Linked DNA regions of Ovis aries. The protein of the gene in region 1 binds, or shares a complex with, the protein of each later gene. Links are inferred from orthologs where the notes say so. Each region holds a gene or a part of one and is shown in the gene's direction. Other genes may lie near its edges. The genes, in order: CLOCK, BMAL1 and CIPC.

Region 1 (4,940 bases):
AGAATATGAAGAGAGATCACTTTCTCTAGAAAATCTAATCCTAGGAAAAGCATTCAAAGCCTCTTGTCTAACTGAAATCTTCCTAATCAGTATTATTAATCTTGCTTCCTCTCTTGCTACCACTGTGAGAATTCATGATGGCAAGTGACAGATAACCTCTCACTGGTTTAAGCAATGAATACATGTTAAGAATTTATTGACTTCTAAGTCGCTTCAGTCGTGTCTGACTCTGTGCGACCCCATAGATGGCAGCCCACCAGGCTCCCCCGTCCTGGGATTCTCCAGGCAAGAACACTGGAGTGGGTTGCCATTTCCTTCTCCAATGCACGAAAGCGAAAAGTGAAAGTGAAGTTGAACTTAACTGAAATTTCCAGTTATCTAGTCCACAATGGATTCCATGCATCCAATGTGTCTACAGGCCAAATCTCCATTTTTAAACCTGCTTTATTCCACGTTGCCTTCTTTCTCAGAATCTGTGAGTAGGAAGATGTGTTCAGGCTTTCATTTTTGCAGACTTAACTCCACTGGAAAAGAGATCAACCTTCTTAGTTAAATCCAAACTAAGGTAGAGGATTAACTCAAATGTGTTTTCCTCTGGAGTCCTGCTCCAGCCTCAGAATAGGGAATGAATGCTAAGCAGGAAAAAATGTCTACTAAAATCTTGTCTGCTATATGATGACTCTATCACGCTCTCCCATTCCGGATAGAATCCTCTGGTGAATGATAAGGGATCTGAATAGTTTCTCAATTTCAATCGATGTTCTTTTTCTCTTGAGTACACAGCAAGAATCTGAAGTGTTCACTGAGATGAATGTTACCTTTGAGGGAGGATTTTATAGTCACAAGTTTTTTTGAAAGAAGAAAAAATGGCTTCTATTTCAAATTCAAAGAACAATCATTAAAATATGAAAACTACTAGGAATTAGGAGTGTAGACTTTTTCCCAATAATTTTTAGCTACTGAAAGGTGCTTTCCCTTGCGGACCAACTGTCTTAACCATCAAAGAAAGTAATTTCCCCCTAAGATAAGGGGGAAAACATTCACACGTTTTTCTACAAGGGAAGGAAGGTACAAGCTAGGATCCTGGTTTATCTCCCATCTTCCTTAAGGCTAGATAAAAATCTCCAAAGGAGCACGTCCGTTATCTTCTTTGGCCTCGGCCCTCCAGCCAAGGACTCACGTCCGATATCCCCAGGCCCACTCTCCAAAAAGAAGCGACTAAAGCAGTGCACTTCCAGAAGAGAGAGGAGGAGTCTGGAGTGCCAGTCACCTTCACAAACGCCCTCTTCCAGTCCCAAGAGACGAAACGCAAGTGATGCCACTGGATGAGGGGGAAAATTCTTTTCGCCCGCCCGATTTTTTTTTCCCCTGGCATTGGCAAAGTGATTTGGTTTTCGAGAAAGAGAAGGTCCCCCTTTTTGGCTTCGGGATCCCTTGCACATGAAACTCTCCTCTGTCCTCGCTTCCTGCATCCAGGGTAAAAGTCAAAGCCACCCTGATCTAAAACTCCCGGGACCGGCCGCACCCTCCGCAGCTAACCAGGCCCCGCCTCCCCTGCTTTCCAGTAACCGGTGCGAGGAACGGGGCGCCGGGGGGATCTTGGCTTTCCTGCACGCCCGGCGGCAGCCGCGGATCGCGCAGACGCGTAGCCCTAGGGAGCAGGAGTCTCCTCCGGCGCCCGGGATCCCCATCGCAGCTCCGAGCTGCCTAACGGGGCACATCGCATGCGCACCAAGACGCACTGGGGAAAGAGAGAGTGAGGGGAGGGACGAAAGAAAAGCGCCGGCAGTCGGAGCCCGCAGGGGTCACTGACTACGCATGCGCCGGGAGGGAGCGCAATCACAGACTCGTCTTGCGGCTACCGGCTTAAAAAAGGAAACCCCCGAGACAGAGAGCGCGAAGGAAATCTGGCCGCCGACGCGTGCGCGCTCCCGGTGAGTGGCGCCCCGCCGGGTGGGCCTGGGGCCTGACGTCCGCCGGCAGGCTTGCCTGAGCGGCGCATGCGTGGTCCCGGTGCCTGTGGAGGAGGGGAAGGGAAGGGAGGGGGAGGAGTTGAGGGCGGCTGTAGCGGTGAATTTTTGGGGGGTGGGTTGGGGGCGCCACTCAGCCTCAGGTGCTGCTAGAGCAGGGAGCCGCAGCGCCTTCAGGACGCTGCAAGGCTAGTGGTTCCGAGTCGCCGCAGCTGGACTCCGGGGTGGGGGAGGGAAGAAGCCGGAGCCGCCGCAAGCCACACGGTGAGGGCGCCGGGAAGTGGGGGGAGCGGGAGGGCGGTGTGTGTGGGGCCGGGGGGCGGCGGCCAGGGGAGGGGCGGGCTGGCGCTGAAGCCCAAGTTTTGCTTATCGCTCGAGAGTGTCTTTTCTCGGGAGTTGGGGTGGAGGCCCGCCCCGTCTGAAGGGCCTTTCGGGACAGCTGGGGTTACCTGCGGGGCAGGGGTGGGATTGGGGTGCGCGGCGGGGTCGGGTGGCCGGAGCGCGCCCTTGGGTTGAGGCCGGTTCGAGCGGCAGAGGGGCGGGGAGAGCCGAAGAGCCGGTGCGGAGAGGGCTTTCGCTGGGGACCCGCTAGGCCTTGTGACCCACTTTATTCCTGTCACAACTCGGGCACGTTTGGAGCGGCGCCCAATGGGGCGCCGGGACGGCCAGCTCCTCCGGGGAACCCCCGCCCTCCCGGCACCCGGCCCGCGCGCCGCGGCCCGCAGTCCGAGCGGTGGCCGCCGCCGCCCGTGGGCTGGTTCCGTTAGTGGTCGCGGTTCCGGGGCTGGGTCCCCGGGGAACGCGCTACTCCTCGCGTCCGACTCGAGCCGCTGCGCGGGTTCGAACGCTCCCGGGGCGGCGCCGGTCTTCCTTGAGTCCACCCGCGCCCGCCCGCCCCGGGTCACCGCGGCGGCTGATTCTTGTGGAAACCTTTTCGCCTGCGAAGCTGGACTCTAGCTTGTCCTGGCGTGCTGGCCCCGGGAGTGTAATTTCCGATGTGTAGCGCCGCAGAGCTTACATTCTTGAGTGCGTTTTCGCTGGTGTGCAAGTCGTCCTGTTGCTAATAGCAGAATCCTGAAAGGTAAAAACCTCGGCCTCTGACTTGGGGAATGAAAGATCGAATCAGGTGGCGGTTGCTTGCTATTAGAATGCCGCGCTATACGACTTGAAGGCTTTCTAACCTTAGAAAAGCAACAATAATGTTTTCTTTTACAGTGAAAGAAAAGCACTAGAAGGAACTTTTAGTCATTGTTGATTTGGCTGTTACGCTGATGCCCCAATCAAAAAAAGGTAATTTCACTTGAAGTCTACATTCTAATTTGTACCTTTATTTTAAGTGATAAAATAGTGCGACTTTTCCCGTCTACCTGGTTGGAAAAGAAACGTTCTAAAAAGGATGTAATTTAAATAATGAGTTGCTTTGTCTGTTTTTAGATCTTGGGGGGAGAAACTTAACTCAGGTGTTAAGTAGTTAACTGTATAGAATATCATTAAAGTTTAGCCTGAAGAAAGATGAAAGTTGTAGTCATAATCAGCTGTGAAAAAGAATGAGGAAGCTTTGTGTGTAATGACACGGAAAGATCTCCAAAGTATGTTATAAAGTGAAAAAAACAAGATATAGGACAGCGTGAATAACGTGCTACTTTGTGTGATAACGAGGCACCCATGGAATAGGAATATAAACTTGGGTTTGTCTTTATAAGTATAAAGAAACTGGCGGGGGAGGATAGCGGAGAATTGATAATGGTTGGGTAGAGGGCGGAGTAACCTGATGAGGGGATGGTGGGAAATGACACGTACACTGTATGCCTTTATATTTTAAAGTATTTGTGACTATATTATGAGTTCGTAAACTAGATTAAACAAAAATCCTTCTCTCCAAAATAATTTGCTCAAAATAATTTCTTTCTTTCCTAGTTTGTAGTAATTTTGGCCATTTTTAATATGGTTTCTCTTAGTGGTTTTTTTTTTTTTTTTTTTTTTTTTTTAAGGGGAAACGACCTAAACTTGACAGAAAGTTTTAAGTATGGCTATCTAGGCTCCAGTTTTTAAGATGCTAATGTTACAAATTTAACTTTTAAAAATGTTTAGTCATATTTTGTTTTGCTAAAATATATGACATTATTTACATTTGACATTTTGGCTTATGCTGTGTTCAGAGCATAGTTTTTCTTGCTGCTTTTTTTCCCCCAGAAATCCTAGTTGTATAAAATTTTACTTTTACTTTTTTTAACCCCAAAGTTGTGATGACAAACAGTTGGAGAATATGAACTCTCCATTAAAATGACACTGGAATTGGTTCTCTAGATAGTTTGCTTTTCAGATGGGGAAATACTTTCTCAAGGCGGTCAGACATGAACTGCATGTAAATTTATATGTGTGTGTGTTTAGAGAGAGATCCTGTATATAGATATAGTACTTACAGAGAATTAAAGTTGAGAGTCAATGTTCTGTTGGTGCAAACGCTAAAATTTTTTTATGACTTAATGGGTTGCTGAAAACAGTATGTAGTTTCAGGGGGGAGGGTACTCAAAATTCCTCTGGTGGCTAATATCGTATAATCAGAGTCGTGAATGTTGAGTAGTGGGTGACAGTTGCTATGGGCATTTTTGTTGTGTAGCATTCCTTTTTATTTTGGAGGATAGGATAATTTTGTTATTTCTCTTTGATCTGTTGGTCTCTGGTAGTCAAATTTCTGCAAATGGCATTTAATTTTCATTTGAATTCCATATATGTCTGTTCATTCTTTTTGAAAAACATTAGAGAAGTAAGTCAATGTTCAGGAAAAATGTAAACAATGCAATGTATTTATAATAGGTGACAATGCTTTTTACATACTTCACTTCTATCTCACATCTCTCCCCAGAGATAACTACTGTTACATTGTTATATAACCTTTGAGTTCTTTTTCTGTGTATTTACATAGACTTTTAATCTCAAAAATTAAGTTGTCTTGATTGTCTGCTTTGT
Region 2 (4,249 bases), on another chromosome or scaffold:
ATGTGGCTTTCAATGACATTTATATGCCAGTAATCTCCAGGTTCATATTTCTAGCCCACACTGCTCTTTTGAACTCCAGATTTGTAAACTAACTGCTTATTTAATCTACCTGCTTGGACATCTCTAGAGCATCTCATAGGTGATAGGCATAGAAGTAACCACCCAGGCTTCCTCTGGAATGTTACGGCAGCTCCTCGCATCGAGCTGTGTGTGCTGAGAGCCTGGGAGACACCGTCTCCCCGTTTCCCTCCGCCCTGGCCTAGGGTTCTTGCTGCTATGAGTCACTCCTGAAGAAGTGTATTTGTTACTGCCATTACTCGATCGAGGCTGTCCTGGGTCTCATAAGTCTGTTGAAGTACTTTCCTCACGCTTTCCAGCCTTTCCCATGGCCAGAGTGACCTTTCTAAAAGCAAATCTTTGTATCTGTCCCCTGTTTCAAACCCTTCATTGGTTCCCATTGCTCTTGAAGAAAAGTTTAAAATCTTTAATGTGACCCTGTAGCGCTCTCCCTTGACACTCCTCCATAGGTTTGAGCCGTGCAGACCTCCGTTTGATGCCTCCAACCCCTTTCCACTCAGTATCTGCACACGTGGTGTCACCTCTGAAGGAAGTGCCTCCCTCGCCACCAGCTCCCCTCCCTGGCTCTCTGCAAACCCCCCTTCAGAGTGGACCCCGATGTCTGTCGCTCAGTCCCTCAGACTGCCTTCTGTCTGCATGGCACACCCTGCAGGTTTTCCTTGTGACACTTGCTCCCATTGCAGTTATGGAGTCATTTGTGGGTTATTTGTTTGAAGTACCTCCCCCCCATTAGACTAAATTCCACAGAGGCGTGCCTGACTTGTTGTCCACTCTTTCCCAGTAACTAGCACAGACCCGATGCTTGGTAAACATTCCATAAGAATGTGTCTACTGGGACTTTCCTGGCAGTCCTCCACGGCAAGGGGGGCACAGGTTTGAGCCCTGGTTGGGGAACTAAGGTCCTGCGAGCTGCGACACAAGGCAGCCCGCCCCCGCCAACAACAAAAAAAAATATGTGTACTGTTGAAATTCACGGATGCTTCACGCTTAACGTGTCCCACACTGAAATCTTTCTCCCTCTCCTCTAAAACACACTCTGTATTCTCTCCCCTGAGTCAACAAATTGTACCTGTAACCACTCAATCCGAAAAAGTTGGACTCATCTGTGTTTTCTTTTTTCATCCCAAATATTTGATACTCAGACCAGATCCCAAAAGTTCAGCCCAGAAATTCCCCTGCGTCCTTTCTGCCTCCCCCTTATCTCCACAGCACTGCCATTGTGAGTCCCTGGCATCTCTCGCTGATTACTATCCTCCTCCTGGCTTTTACTGTCTTCCAGTCCCCCACCGCCCCCCGTCATTAAAGCATCCAAATCACGATGTGATTTTGCTGTTTCCCCACTGTAAGTGCCCTTGGAAACTCTCCATTTCCAGTCTGGAAAAGGTTAACACCTTTGTGAGCAAATGATCCAAGGCCCCAACAGTATGCTGCCAACCTACCTTCCCAGCACTTACCCCCAGCACCTCCCTTTTCACTTCACCTGCATGGAGCACTGTGCTGTTTGCTGTACAGGATGCCCCTCTGGGTCTTTGTACCTTCTCAGCCTTTACACATTCTGGTCCTTTAGCCGGTGCCCATCCCTCCCAGCTCTCCTCCTACACAGATCTTCTGGGCAGCCTTCCTCTGCCAGGGGGATTGTGCTGCTCCTTCCTTGGTGTACGTGATGCCCATTTGGTGTCATCATTGCTACGAAACACACATGACACTGGATCATGCCTGATCTTTCTGTCTTTCTCTTTCACTTGATGCTATCTTCTGGACAGTAGACTTTGATTTTTATATTTTCAGTCCCTCCCTACATCTCAATGCACGATAGGCTGCCTGTGCTTCCAGGCCCCAAAGCCCCACTGACATCGGACTTTGCTTTCTAGCAGATCGAAAAAGCTTCTGCACAATCCACAGCACAGGCTATTTGAAAAGCTGGCCGCCCACAAAGATGGGGCTGGATGAAGACAACGAACCAGACAATGAGGGGTGTAATCTTAGCTGCCTTGTCGCCATCGGACGGCTGCACTCTCACATGGTTCCACAACCGGCAAATGGGGAAATCAGGGTGAAATCAATGGAATATGTCTCCCGGCACGCGATAGATGGGAAGTTTGTTTTTGTAGACCAGAGGTAAGAGTCTGCACGTTACCCTTGGACTGTCTTGGCAGCAGATTTTCAACCTTGAGTAAAGCAGAGCAGACTGGGCCATTGGCTGCCTTTCTTAAGGATAGAGAGGAGGAAGTGACGGGTGGATCTGCTGAAAAATGAGACCTAGTGGGTTATCATCATAAATACAGAAATTTTCTCCATGTCATTCTTGGGCAGGTAGAGACAGTGAAGTGGGGTGGCTTGATGTCCGTGGCTAAGAGAGAAATAATAGGCATAACATGCTATCTGAATCTATGGAGTGTTCCATTAATTACTGTAATGTGAGTTCTGGGATGTGGGACTTTGAAAAGATTATCTGGTCTTGAGCTATCAATACAGTAGTCATTGGCTATAGTAACCCCATATATTTAATCAATTAAAGTTAAAATGTGAATTTAAATTCCCCCAGCTCACTAACCACATTTCAAGTATCAGTAGTCACATGTGGCTTCCCTGGTGGCTCAGCTATAAAGAATCTGCCTGCCAGGGCAGGAGATGCAGGTTCAATCCATGGGTCAGGAGGATCCCCTGGAGAGGGGAATGGCACCCCACTCCAGTATTCTTGCCTGAGAAATCCCATAGACGGAGGAGCCTGGTAGGCTGCAGTCCATGGGATCACAAAGGATTGGATACAACTTAGCGACTAAACAGCAGCAACAGTGGCTAATGGTACCTGAACAGAACATTTCTGTCTTCACAAAAAGTTCTGCTGGACAACACTGATCTAGTCTGGTCTCATTCTTTATGGCTGATGAACAGAGGCTCAGCCTGAAGACCAGCCCCCTCCGAGATTCGTAACTCATTGGCCGTAGACCTGGGCTAAGAACCCAAATTTCCACTGCTCTCTGCTGCTTCCTTACAAGTATCCACAGGCTAGCAATTTTTCTGGCCACTGGAAATAGCCAGTCACTAAATACTAGAAAAGGAGGCAGCCGCTTCTCAAGGTCCCTGTGGGCCCCACGACTGGGGCTTCTGGTCACTCTGATAAAAAGCAGGCAGTAAATTGGAGAAGTTTTGACCTGGAGTTTAGAGTCCTATCACTTTTTTTTAATCTAAAAGTTACTACTTTTAAACCTAAAATTTGATGTCTTGTGCTAACAGCCCCTTTGAAAGTCTTTGCTTTCTCTCTCTGTTTTTATAACCCCGATTAAAGTCAGCTTCATGAGAAAGAACAAAACCCATGTAATAAGCCCTCTGAACCCCCCCAGCTTTGACCTTGTTTTCATTGGCTGTAGCAGGAGTCATCCACTGCAGAGATCTGTTAATTGTCTGAATGTTATTTTATTTAAAAAAAAATTTTTTTTCTCCCTTTTAGGGCAACAGCTATTTTGGCATATCTACCACAAGAACTTCTAGGCACGTCGTGTTATGAGTATTTCCACCAAGATGACATAGGACATCTCGCAGAATGTCATAGGCAAGGTTAGCTGCTGGGCTGTACACCAGTTCTGAAGTTTCAAGTGTCCTCCTTCTAGACATGTCCATGGACCCTTGCAGAGAAATCTGCCCCTGTGAGGTGGGAGTCAGCCAGCCCAGGGACCTGCAGGCCAGAATGTCTGGGAGGAGAGGGTGCTGCTCCTTCCCCCAGGCCTCATCTACCCCCTTCCAGATAACCGCCCACCCCGACTGCCTAGTAGATCTCTACATGGGCTGGAGCAATTTCTGGAAGGCACCTCTGGTTCAGAGGGTTTCCCTGGACTATGTAAAGATTTAGTGTGGCCCAAGCGGATCTAATTTCCTACAAATCCCTGCACCGCCTCCTGCATTTTCCTCTTGGTTAATGACGTGGCCACGTACATAGCCTCCTGAGACAGCAGCCAACATTGACTCCCTTCTTTACTCTTTCCTCCGTCGGAACTGTTCATTCATCTCAGCCATGCATCTCCAAGGAGGCCCCTTTCTGCCAAGCCCCTGATGCAGCCCTGGTACCCACCTGATAATTGTGATGGACTTGCCTCTGCCCCGCCAGTCCATCTTCTATTGCTGTCCCGCTTATGCTCTGACAGACTGAGCCTGACAGTCACATCTGTGCTCA
Region 3 (4,990 bases), on another chromosome or scaffold:
CTTAAATGAGTTAGGTATGGTACAGGCTGATTTTTACTGGGAATTGTGTTTAATTCAGTCTCATTCTGATCAGTGTGCATTCCCTTTAGTCTACTTACACTGTATGCAAAAGAGCAAGAGAGCTGTTCAAGGATGCCTGTAAGCATCCTTGGCTTCTATTTAATTTATTTCCAGTCCCTCCTCTGCTTCTGGAGTGGTTGATGTTCTTCACTAGATCCTGTATTGGCAGAAACGTTCACACGGCATTTTCAGGGTGTCTTCAGATACGCAGCTGTCTGACAGGGGCCCCATGTTTCTCTCTACTTAGAAGGACGAACAGATGGAGTCGAAAATGAATCGTGAATAAGAATGCCTCCAGGTATAGCTTAAACGTACTACCTCGGTCCATTTTGTCATGACAAAACACCACAGACCGTGTAGCTTATAAACCACAGAAATTTATTTCTCCCAGTTCTGGAAGCTGAAAGTCCAAGCTTAGGGTGCCAGCAAGGTCGAGGGACAGCCCTCTTTTGGGTCACAGACTTCTCACTGACTGTGGTGCAAGGGGCTGGGGACCTCTCTAGAGCCTAAGGCACTCATCCCATGAGGTGAAGCTCTCATTACCTAAGCCCCACCTCCTAACACCATCATCTTGGGGGATTAAGATTCCATATATGAATTCTGGGGGGACACAGATGTTCAGATTGGAGCACTCGTCCGGTTGCGTTGTTATTGCTGTTTTACCTGTTGGTCCGGTGTTCTCTTTATCCCTGCAGTATCCTTGTGTTCTGACTGTGCCGCCTTTCCAGCTGCCATCCCTTGGCTGTTCAGAAAAGAAAGTGAAAGTGTTCGTCGCTGAAGCGTGTGTCCGACTCTTTGCAACCCCGTGGTCTGTAACCCGCCAGGCTCCTCTATTCATGAGATTCTCCAGGCCAGAATATTGGAGTGGGTTGCCATTCCCTTCTCCAGGGGATCTTCCCGACCTGATGATCAAACCTAGGTCTCCTGCATTGGAGGCAGATTCCGTAGCATCTGAGGCACCATGGAAGCCCTGACTGTTCAGAGGGCCCTGTTAAAATATCCTGAAAGGGCTCATTGGTCTCACAGTTTGCGCTGTTAACCTAGTTCTGGATCTGCTTTGAACTAGCTGTGTGTTACTGGGTCAAATCTAGGCGTCTCTCAGGAAGAGGGGGAGCAGGTCTGTCTGATTCGCTCTGTACCCGCCACTAGCACCATGCCCAGCTCACAACAGGCACTCAGGAAGTATTTTTAAATGGCTGAATATAACTTATCTGAGCCTCAACTTCCTTCTCTGTAAAATGGGATAACAACTGAGAAGGATGTTTTGAGGCTCAAATGAGATAATCTTAACATCAGTAATGTTACGGGTGTTTGTGGATCAAAGCACTGTGTATCTGGTTTTCTGTGCACATAGACGCACTTTCTAAGCCAGAATGTGGCATGCATATATAAGGAGTTGTTTTTTGATCTGTTCACTACCTCCTCTAATTTGATAAACTACACTCGGGGAGGTGGCAGAAAGTCTCGGGCCTGCGGAGGTATCCTGGGAAGCAGGCCTGGTCCGAGGTGGGCATCCCCTCTCCTCTCTTCTTCTCCCTCAGGGAGCATTCCAGAGAGCTAATCAAATGTGCCTTTGTTAGCAGTTTACAAAGCTTCCACTGAATGGTCTGTGTGCTTTGCATTTGTAATGGAATTAGAGGGCAGGGAGAGGACAGTGAGCCTGCCTTTGGATGGAAACCATTCTCCTGCTGAGTAAACGTGTAGCCTTTGTCTGCTGAGACCTCTGAGAAAGTGCCGGCTGAGGACGTGGGCGAGGCCCGTGTCCTTTGCCCCGACTTTACTCACTGCTGGTTCACCTGTCCTAGCTCTCCAGGCAGTGACTTCTTACGTAACTGTTGTTTTTTCACAGGGCAGTCCAGATGAAAAGAGTACTGATGTGTCCCCTCGCAGCCCAGTAAAACATGGAGAGGAAGAACCCGTCCAGAGAGGGCTCTCGAAGGCTGTCAGCCAAACCAAGCAAGGGCTCAGAGATGAAAAAGGCGTCTCGTCAGCTCGGCCTGGCAGCTGCTGAGTCAGACAAGGACTCTGGATTTTCAGGTTAAAATTACCTTATCCTTTCTACACTGTAGTGAATGATTTGCCTGAAAAATGTCCTCCGTAAAACTCATTTGTGTGATAATGATGGGAAGGTTTCACCCACAGGAGAAATGAATGGCTCTCTGGTCTCTTAAAATGGTAGTTCTGTTGCCACATGGCAGGGTATTCATCAGAGTCACAGTGGGGTTAGTTCTGAAGGAACGGTTTGATGTCTTTTTTCAGCTCAGACTCTCAACTTCAAATCTTACGTGTTTCCCCACTGTGGGAAGTGGTTATGGGAGAAAAGATATAAAATACTCATAATTCTGTTGTCTTTCCTCCTTTCTCACAGGAATAGTTATATTGCAGTTAAACTGCATTCCAATAATCACATTGGAAAAAAAACTGCATGTTGTCACCACATAGAACAAATTAAACAAAGGTAGTGGGGTCACACAGAGTCGGACACGACTGAAGCGACTTAGCAGCAGCAGCAGCAGTGTATAATTTGTTAAGATATCTTTTTTCTAAGAAAGTATTTTGTTATGTTTAAAAACATTTCCTCCTGATAGCCCATCCCTGCCAGTGTTTGCTCTTTGTGTTTGGTCTGTGAGTCTCCTGGCCCCATTCCAAACCTGAGTACCTATTAGAGACGAGAAAGCAGGACAATTTTCCTTACTATTTTTTCTGAAAGAACTAGCTGCATACCCAGTAAATCTTTTAATTTTGTGCTGAGGCTTTTTTTAATCTCCAGGTCTGAGAGAAGTGGCTTAAATACGGCTTGAGTGGCGACATTTTTGGCCCAGGGGATGCAGAGAGGTGATGCCAGGGGATTCGGCCTGGGCCGGCATCCCGAGAGCGGAGCCCTCTCCTGGAGGAAGATTTCTATTTTTCAGCCCACAGAGACTAATCAGTCCATCTTGTCGATTTATGAATTTATAGTGAGAAATGCAGCTCTTAGGAACCCTGAACTCTCTCACCCTTAGATTTGTAAATTTTGAAGCTGCAGGGGAAGCCAGGTTATCAATAGGTTGTTGATCTGAGAGGAGCAGAGCACCAGGTCAGGGATTAGAATAAGTACAGTTCAGGAAAGTTAGGGCCAGCGTCTAGCTCTTTGGGTTTTTCTTCTCAATTTTTTCCCATTGTTTCTCAAGCTTGCCTCATCATAAGGCCTTTCTGAGGCATTTGTTTAAAAACACCAGGCCCCTCTCCTGGAGATTGTGACATCGAGGGTCTGCGGGGAGGGCTTGGAGTGTGGGTTTCCTATTTTTACAAGTGTCTCTGGTGATGCCTGTGATCAAACAGGTTTGGGAAACTTTGCAAGCCTGCTGCTGTTGCTGCTGCTGCTAAGTCGCTTCAGTCGTGTCCGGCTCTGTGTGACCCCATAGACAGCAGCCCACCAGGCTCCCCCATCCCTGGGATTCTCTAGGCAAGAACACTGGAGTGGGTGCCATTTCCTTCTCCAGTGCATGAAAGTGAAAAGTGAAAGTGAAGTCCCTCAGTCGTGTCCGACTCTTCGCGACCCCATGGACTGCAGCCCACCAGGCTCCTCCGTCCATGGGATTTTCCAGGCACAAGTACTGGAGTGGGGTGCCATTGCCTTCTCTGTCTTAATATCATATTGGGTTGTTTTTTTTTTTTAATATCATGAAGGTAATATATGCTCATTGTAGAAGCTTAGAAGTTTAGGTACATGCAGAGAAGAAAATAAATATTAACCATAATCCCACCTCCTGTTATTCTCAATACTGTGGCCATTTTGGTACTTCCTCTGACAACTTCAGCTCCATCAGGCCAGCTGTTTTGTAGCATGTTGCACAGCCTGGGTAGTTTTTCTGAAAGTTTCCTATTCTCAATGCAGCAGTGCCTTAAGAAGTTTTGTGCTGTTCAGACATAAGGCAGTCTTAAAAATACTCAGACTCATATGCCCCAGAAGGTGGTCCCAGTGAAGGCCTCCAGCCACTTCTGGGCCAGGTGCCAATGGTGTCATCCCTGCTGGAGTTATCCTTTCAGTTCCTTGGGATGTGATGTAATTGGCAGTTATTAATTAGCTACAGTCCGTATTTAGATTTTTCGCATTGTCTCAGTAGTGTCCTTTATAACTGTTAGTCTCTTTTGTATATTTGCTTGTTGTGGGTGCAGAACTCAGTTGAAGGTTGTGCATTTCATTTCATTGTCCTGTCTTTTCGCTCTTAGTCTAGAACAGTTCCCTTGTCTTCCCTTTCTTTTTTTTTCGTGAAATTGACATCTTTAAATGAGTTAGGCCTGTTGTTTTGTACGATGTTTCACACTGGACTTCTCTGGTAGCTTCCCCAGTATTAGAAACAGAATAAACGTTTTTAAAATAGAAAACTAAATTTTTGATGTTACATCCTCTCATTGCAACACATGAGGTGACTCCTAGGTTTGTCTTATTCTTGGTGATGCTCTGATTAAGGGAGTAATTGTAGACCAGATTTCTTTATTATGAAAGCCCTCCTTTCTCTCTGTAATTAATAAGCAGAGTATGGGATGGTACTTTAAGATTGTGTGACTCTCCTGTTTGCCAACAACCTCTTGACCAGTGGTTTTTGCATCCACTGATGATGCTTACCTAAACCAGTTATTAAACTTGTGGTTTGAAAAATGGTGATCTAATTCTATTATTCCTTTACATGTTATTAGCTGTTGATCTTCTTTAAGGAAACACTTCTCGACCCCCTTTTTTGAGCATCACTGTGGATTCACGGAATTCTTTTCTGATTTGGTTTGTCAACCCATTATCCGTATTCTTTCTGATACCAGGTTGTCCCACATTGGGTCAGTGGGGGTCTCTTCTAGATGGCACCTGTGTCTTTGACGTGTCTCGCATTTGTGGTTGAGCGCTTCCTTGCTTTCTGGGACAGTAAGATGTCTAGGCTTCCCTGCCAAAGAC

Evidence for each region.
Region 2: the proteins of CLOCK (region 1) and BMAL1 are in contact, whole or in part, in a crystal structure (PDB 4F3L), measured with the Mus musculus proteins. The link is inferred for Ovis aries from reciprocal best matches to the Homo sapiens genes CLOCK and BMAL1. Residues at the interface, in NP_001276755.1 of Mus musculus: Arg46, Gln49, Phe50, Leu53, Ile54, Glu56, Leu57, Met60, Leu61, Pro62, Lys70, Ser71, Leu74, Gln75, Ser77, Ile78, Phe80, Leu81, Arg82, His84, Lys85, Thr88, Glu95, Ile96, Gln98, Asp99, Trp100, Pro102, Phe104, Leu105; in XP_030097882.1 of Mus musculus: Lys70, Met71, Phe74, Ile75, Glu77, Leu78, Ser80, Leu81, Val82, Asp93, Leu95, Leu98, Arg99, Ala101, Val102, His104, Met105, Lys106, Leu108, Arg109, Gly110, Ala118, Tyr120, Lys121, Pro122, Phe124, Leu125, Asp127, Asp128, Glu129.
Region 3: the proteins of CLOCK (region 1) and CIPC are in contact, whole or in part, in a crystal structure (PDB 5VJI), measured with the Mus musculus proteins. The link is inferred for Ovis aries from reciprocal best matches to the Homo sapiens genes CLOCK and CIPC. Residues at the interface, in NP_001276755.1 of Mus musculus: Gln519, Leu526, Lys527, Leu530, Arg533, Ile537, Asn540, Ile541, Arg543, Gln544, Glu547, Leu548, Ile551, Gln554, Leu555, Val558; in XP_006515773.1 of Mus musculus: Asn401, Thr402, Val405, Leu406, Ser409, Leu411, Ile414, Thr415, Thr418, Leu421, Ile422, Asn425, Thr428, Gln429, Leu432, Leu435, Lys436, Thr439, Gln440, Phe442, Ile443, Thr446.

The regions. Positions count from the first base shown.
Region 1 is NC_056059.1:71,697,811-71,702,750, reverse strand, and holds the start of CLOCK (circadian locomoter output cycles protein kaput), read left to right. Parts: upstream 1-1,807; 5' UTR 1,808-1,934; intron 1,935-2,101; exon of another isoform or gene 2,102-2,234; intron 2,235-2,668; exon of another isoform or gene 2,669-3,051; intron 3,052-3,185; 5' UTR 3,186-3,260; intron 3,261-4,940. UniProt on the Homo sapiens protein: Transcriptional activator which forms a core component of the circadian clock.
Region 2 is NC_056068.1:39,065,314-39,069,562, reverse strand, and holds part of BMAL1 (basic helix-loop-helix ARNT-like protein 1), read left to right. Parts: intron 1-1,949; coding exon 1,950-2,196; intron 2,197-3,529; coding exon 3,530-3,636; intron 3,637-4,249. UniProt on the Homo sapiens protein: Transcriptional activator which forms a core component of the circadian clock.
Region 3 is NC_056060.1:86,465,481-86,470,470, forward strand, and holds the start of CIPC (CLOCK-interacting pacemaker), read left to right. Parts: upstream 1-1,961; coding exon 1,962-2,097; intron 2,098-4,990.